Linked DNA regions of Schizosaccharomyces pombe. Changing the gene in region 1 together with any one later gene gives a genetic interaction. Each region holds a gene or a part of one and is shown on either strand. Other genes may lie near its edges.

What was found. A genetic interaction does not mean that the proteins touch.
Region 2: mutations in nup124 (region 1) and cwf15 together harm fitness more than expected from each alone (negative genetic interaction), as found in Schizosaccharomyces pombe (one large-scale study listed by BioGRID).

What each region holds. Positions count from the first base shown.
Region 1 is NC_003424.3:1,110,358-1,114,117, reverse strand, and holds the start of nup124 (nucleoporin Nup124), read right to left. Parts: upstream 1,944-3,760; 5' UTR 1,905-1,943; coding exon 1,654-1,904; intron 1,611-1,653; coding exon 1-1,610. Other genes in the region: AP-3 adaptor complex subunit Aps3, read left to right, coding at 3,000-3,266, 3,309-3,362. UniProt on the Schizosaccharomyces pombe protein: Nucleoporins may be involved in both binding and translocation of the proteins during nucleocytoplasmic transport. In S.pombe it is required for the nuclear localization of retrotransposon tf1.
Region 2 is NC_003423.3:1,040,328-1,043,603, forward strand, and holds cwf15 (protein Cwf15), read right to left. Parts: upstream 1,703-3,276; 5' UTR 1,647-1,702; coding exon 1,632-1,646; exon of another isoform or gene 1,573-1,631; coding exon 790-1,572; 3' UTR 661-789; downstream 1-660. Other genes in the region: chaperonin-containing T-complex theta subunit Cct8, read right to left, coding at 36-75, 129-251; ecm14 (carboxypeptidase), read right to left, coding at 1,968-2,066, 2,107-2,354, 2,396-2,524, 2,574-2,679, 2,721-3,276. UniProt on the Schizosaccharomyces pombe protein: Involved in pre-mRNA splicing.

The sequences.
Region 1 (3,760 bases):
GCTTTCCAAAACTACTTCCAAAATTAAATTGTAGCGTAGGTTTTGTTGTGTCTTGTGTACTAGAAGCATTGTTTAAAGAGAAATTGAACGTAGGAGCTTTCGTTTCTTCCTTCTCTTCAAGGGTTTTAGGTGCGAATCCTCCAAAGCTGAAACCAGAAGTTGAAGCAGGAGCAGACGGAGCGTTGTCCTTCTTTTCTGTTTCTTCTCGTTTTGGACTTAATTGAGAAAAAAATGAAGGCTTGTTCTCAGTTATACTTGGCGTCTCTTGAGTCTTTGACGGTAATTGTGCAAAGAACGTTGGCTTGGGCTCATTCTCCTTCAAACGATTAGTTTGCACATCAGCAGTAGCAGTTGGCTTAAACTCAAATTTGGGTACATTTAATTTTTTGTCCGTGGTAGCTTCAGTCTTCGGTTCAAACTTAAATTCGGGTACTGAAAAGTGAGAAGATTTGATTTCCTTAGAAGGTGATGGCGGTTCAACTTCGGACTTTCTAGTTGTAGATTCTTTTGTCGGCGATGAGGAAAATTGGCTTTTGGGCGCTTCTGTATCCTTTGACAATGGCTGATGTTCAAAGGTTTTATTATCCTCAGCGTTCGCGAGAGTAAGTGCCGTATCATTCGGAGAAGTCTTTACAGGCTTAGGGGTAATAGAGGCTTGAAGCTCTTCAAAGGTAGGGGCGGACTTCGTCAATAAACCCTTGTCACTTGTATTATCCTTGGGAGATGCTATTATAGGTTCTAATATACGCTCAGATTTTGGATTTTGTTTGGGTAATGCGGTGTAATGAACGTCATCTTCGCAAGCAAAGATTTCATCCAAATCCTCATCAACTGCAGAAAAAGCCTTAATATGACCTTTCTCGAGAGTCTGACGCTTACGCGAAGTGGGTGTACTTAACCGGTGATAAATATCTTGCTTATCAATAAACATTGTATTACCGGGGTTGGAATCTGTCTGAACTTCTGCATTGACTAATACAGGCTTCCTTAAATCCATCTGTTCAAGAGTTTCATAAATGATAGGGATAAGCCGCTGGTGTCTACGACGTCGCCGAGAGGAGCGGTGAGGAACGTGATTTTTTGCTGAGACCTCTGTTTCGCCATTCTCCTTATCTCTAATGTCGGTAAGACTCTTATGGGAATCATTTCCAGAAAAGCTTTTGTTCTGCTTAGCTGAGGGCTCGTTTTCAGAGGCACGAGCAACAGATTTCTTTTTGGAAAGCATAGGACTGGGACTTCTAGAAGGCTTGCGCTTCTCACAAGTAGGATTAGCTTCGGTAATACGATCTTGTTTTACACTTGATATATTTAAGGTATTTTTCTGCTCATCGTGAAGTGACCGAAGGATATTGAGCAATGAAGCAGAGGATTTGGGAGTTGCAATTTGATGTTGAGAAGTGCTGCCCAACTTTTTGGATAAAGCAGAAGAAGGATGAAGCGAATTAAGTGATTTTAACGACAACTCGTCATGGCGTTTAAAAAGCGTTGGGGAATTAGTATAATCTTGCTTTTGCTTTGGCTTCCTAGGTTCAAATGTATTCGTATGAACTTTTTCCTCTATTCCATCAATTGTTCTAACATGGCTCCGATTACTAACGCGAATAATTCTTCTATTTAATGTTAATATGTTTCACGACAAAAATGTCAACTTACGGAGATTTTCCTAAATAATGAGGTGTTAACTCTGGAGTAAGCAGGCTTTTTGTACCTGCTCTTCCACTCTTTCTATCCTTGCTAGCCGTTCCTGAAGCTTTCTCGTCTAGACCACTGGTGAATGGGTGCAAAACAGATGAAAATGCCCGTTTCAAGACCGTAAAAAAGGGCCTTGAGCTCCCCTGAGGTGGGTCATAGGGTTTCTTAACAGTCTTTGATGAAGTGCGAGTATTTTTTGAAACAGGAGGCATCAATACAAACTCATCGACAACTACTAGAAGACGTTGGTTAATGAGAAGTAGCGAGTTTAGTTACGTGGCAATTATTTTTCATGCTAATGACTTATTGATTGTCTGGTAGCGCTATTTGTTATATGCCAATATCGTAGTCGTAGGAACTGTACGACTATTGTAACACGTTTCGTAAAAATGTTTAATACGAGAAGAAAGGGAGTTATTTGAAGGTGTTAAGCAAGATGGAATATGTTAATACAATTTGTTTTCGGTTTAAAAAAATGGGATATCAAATTCTATTTAATCTCGTTACCAGTAAAGTGGTGATTGCAACAGTAGTCCACGAGCCTTAGCTTCGTCAATATTCGCTTTATCAAGTTTTAGGCTGTCTAATATTCTAGCAACTTACTTGCAATACTTAAATTCTTCCGTTTAAATCAGCTTACATTGTATGAAGAAATGATTAGTTCTATTTTCATAGAAAAACACTTAGGCACGTACTGTCTAATCGTACGTAATTGGAATTTCGCTTTACTATCATCTATAGTAGTGTTGATTAAAACAAGTGCCTCCCATATAGCAAGGCAGCGTTCATTGCTAATCATATTATGCAAATATTCACTTAATTAGTATATTAATCAAAAAAAAGCTACCAATATATACCTATAGTAACTGAATAGTGGGATCACCTCATATAACTATTAGTATGTGTCTACTTATTACTGAGATGTCACATACTATGTAGCTATTTGAATATTTCATAACCATCAATTCAAAAATTGGTGGAAGACAAATGTTTTTTCCTATTTTTCTATTCCTAAATTGTATACAAAGTAGTTCGTTATAGAGATCATTGAAGGCATGGCAAAAATTGTTTACTAGACATTATGAATTTCAGTAACAGATCTTTGGTTCAATAGTGGATAAATAATATACTCAATAAATATAAAACCATGAAAATCTTAAATATAGCAAATTAACTAAGGCATTGAAAGAAATTTGTCGATCCTGGTTCTTCCAAACTACTATTAACGTATATTCAACTTAAACTTCAGCTTGCCGTTTACCAAGCACTGCATATTTGGGTTCTGCCAGCTTTCCCTTTCTATTGTCATGATTTACGCTGTTTTTATATTTAACAATAAAGGGAAACCTCGTCTCACAAAGTTTTACACTCCAATTGATGAATCCATTCAACAAAAGTTAATAGGAGATATATATGCAGCTGTATCCACTAGGCCCCCAACCGCTTGTAATTTTTTGGAAAGTAATTTAATTGCAGGTAAAAATAGAATAATTTATCGCCAGTACGCTACTCTCTACTTCGTTTTTGTAGTAGATGAAGGTGAAAGTGAACTAGGAATTCTCGATCTCATTCAAGTAAGTTGAAATTAGTTACTTTCCAATTTCTAACTATTAAAGGTATTTGTTGAAGCATTAGATCGATGCTTTAATAATGTTTGCGAGCTTGATTTGGTAAGTACATTTCACTACTCGTTTATCTTCCCATTATCCTACTGCTATATGTTTGAAACCATTGATTCCGTTTTTTTTTATTTAATTTGTTTTTTTCTTATTTGGTTTCGAATGTTTGGAAATTTGGCCTTACAAGAAACATTAATGTTTGTCCAATATTCGATTATCAAAAGAGCATAACATTTATTTTTATCATTTATTGAACTTAGGAACTACAAGAGTTTAATTCCTAATTCCTTTACTTCTCATCGCCTTCAAGAAAGAAATTATGCATAGAACTGGAAGTAGAGTCTCATTGTCGATGATTCGCAATCTCCAATGAAAAAAAAGAGGAGGTGTTAGTAATAATTATCCAAATACAAGTGTATACGCCAAAAAAAAAGGATATTGAAGGAAGA
Region 2 (3,276 bases), on another chromosome or scaffold:
AATAAGAAATGAAATAACTGTTTGAGTCAACATACCAATTTTATTTTTTCCATTTGGACCCAAAGAGGTACGGGTCTAAAAGTATCAGTAAATGAATGAAACTTGCTTAATAAATTATAGGTCCTTACGATTTCTGAAAGTTCACGAATAGCATTACAATTACGGATTACTGCATCCTCTACGCCCTGCATAATCCGATATCCTTCGCGAAACAGTTGAGGCCCAGAGGCCTTTGGAACTCGCAAAGCCATTTTGTTTACGAAAGCCTTTATGTCTTGGTAAAAGTCAAGTGGTGATTAGCCAGTACAGTAGTAAAACTATATTTCGGTATTGAGCAACCATCCTTGCATTATGTTAAATAAATTAGTGATTTCAAAAGTAAAAGCAAACGACTTCAAAAGTATATATATAGTATTTCTCAAATGTTTCCTTCGTACAAAAAGTTATAGTAGTTGTCTTTTTTAAAAATGATAAAATATTTACATTAAATTATAGTAAACTTTTCAGTAACCCCTTCCGTTAACGCAGATTTGGTGAGAGAATAAATAAGATATGCATCACTCAAATAAAGGCTTTGCAATTATAAATTTTGTAAACTTAATATACCAACAATTGTAACTACTAAACTCAGTACAGCCAGTATTAAAACAAAAAAAGAAGCAAGTTATCAATTAAACATTATCATCTCATTTATAAGTAACATTCTTAAAAATTGCCTTGTATGATAGCAGTAGAATGAAGAAATTTTGTTTTGTGGAAAGAAAAGAAGACAGCAAACCCACAGGTGATTTAATCAACAAATCTTGCCAAGAACTTCTTGTGAAACTCGCTTCTCAACATATCATTAACAAATCCAGGCCGAGGTGTGTCATCAACCCCTTTATGTGTATTCCTAAAAACAACGTCTTCGTCCCATCGACGCTTAACTTGAAAAGACCCTGAAGAAGCTTTATTCAAAAGCTCATTTCCAAAAGCTATTTCCCGTTCCCTTTTTTCTTGCTCCAGTGCTCTGTTTTTCTCTTCCTGAAGCATTTGCTCTCGTTTTCTTTCTTGTTTTATATTTTCCAACTCTCGAAGTAGCTGTTGTGTCTCATCTTCTGAATCGGACTCTTCGTCCGAACTTTCTGAATTTGATGAGTCAACGGATTCTTGAGAATTTGATTCTGTTTTTCTTCTTTTAATTGATACCTCAGAATTTTTATTTGAACTATCCACACTGTCGTCGCTATCGCTAGCATCCTCGTCCGCCTCCAAAGTCTGCCGTAACAGCTCTTGATAATCAACCTCAACATCGTTATTGGGTTTATCGTCCGTTGAAGGGGAAGTGAAACCTTCTATGAGTTTTGAATTCTGGCTTACTTCTTCAGAAGAGGCACCATGTTCTTGAGTTGCAAAATGTGCAGCCTCTGCACGTAACAATGCCTCTCGTAAATCCTGTTTTCTGACCTCTTCCTCAGTTCCTTGAGATTCTTGTCTATATTTTAGTTTTAAATGAGCTGGTAATGCGCGACTAGACGTTATCCTAGTAGGGGCCATTTCTGAATGCCCCCTAGCTGGATCAAATTGGGGTCTCTAAACATGAGTTAGTTTTAAATTATAAAATAGAGGATATATATGTAAATTGAGCATACATGTGCAGTCGTCATATTGAAAAAATATGCAATTCACAACTGTTATTATTGAGACTATGTTGGTGGAGTGCAAATACGATTACACCAAAAAATCTTAATATTTACTCTTGCAAAGTAATCATGATTCACTACTTTAGTAAGTATTCACTCTTAAATTCTTATAACGTTCTAAAAAACGTTAATTGATAGAACTGGATTTATTGTTAAGACAGGTAAATAACGCATCAATTGAACCACCTGGAAGGAAGGTATTTATTTTCATAAATTAATAATTACTATAATTAAATTTGGCAAAATTGCCAACAGATAAGCGAATAATTATTGATCTTTCTTGGACTAAAATGCATACTCAGCGATAAACTCTCCATAGTAAAGAATCATCGCAAAAAATTCCTTAGCTGTGGGGACAATCTGTTTAGCAGGTAATAAATATCCCTTGTTTAATTAGTAAAAAATTTTAGAGATATCAACTTACATAATCACCCATGTCTCGTAATCGAATATTGAAAGGCCATGCTACATCAGCAGCAAAATAAACCCAGTCAATGGCAGTTCCAGGTAGGTAATGTTTATGAAATCCATCATACGGTATACATGCTTGTTGATATGTGTAGTATCTACTATTTACGCGATGCAACTCTTTAACTAAGCCAATTGCTAATTCCTCAAAATTCTCAGTATCAGGAGGAAACAAGTCGCAGGTATATGCATAAGGCCACAAAACTAACTTAATTAGTAAATGAAAATAGACTGTCGAAACATACCAGATTGTGAATACGAATGCACATCAAGAAATCCAACGACCTTTTTCTGCTCTTGCGACAAGGATTCAGTTATCAGATTGAACAAGGCCATAGTTTCGTTAGCCTGAAAAGGTGATAATCCTCCATATTCTTGAGTTTGTTAGTTGTAATAAGTCATCAAAAAAAATAGTTCGCTTACCGTTGCTGCAAGGATCAATATTACCGTTGAAGCCAAATGCCCAATTCGCATCGAGATTTATGCCAAAACACTCGGAATTATTAAGAGGCTGTCTGTTTTTTGACCACTGACAAATAATTAGTATATGCTTCATTACAAACCACTTACCAGTCTATCGTTTGACCATGTATATTCATAACCATCAACGTTTAAAACTGGAATAAAAATCCATTCAAATTTATCCAAAAGCTTTCGGACATGACCATCGGAATCATATTTTGCCAACAATTGCCATGCGGCATAGCAAACAGATGGAATACCTATCCACTCACGAGCATGAGATCCTCCTTGAATAATAATCACTTTCTTGTTACGAATCTTTTCCCCGTTGTCGGAAGGATGTCGACCGTTCAATTTTAGGCCTAAAATCGTTCGACCTTCCGCTGTAATTCCAACTGGAACTAGTTCACTTAAATCTTTGTAAAGGGACGCCATCAACCTCAACCAGGAATTAATCGATTCTAAATTCTGATATGACTTGAAAAAAATATCCGTAAAGGAAGTAAACATTTCGTGATTTAAATGACCATTTTCAACGGCTTGAAGGAAAGCTTCTGTGGAAAAAGGGGAATTCGTAGTATCTGGAACAATGCTTTCAAATAAGGTCTCTGTCAGATTGTTTATAAGTATGTCACTACGATATTGACTCTTCCAAAAATCAAAA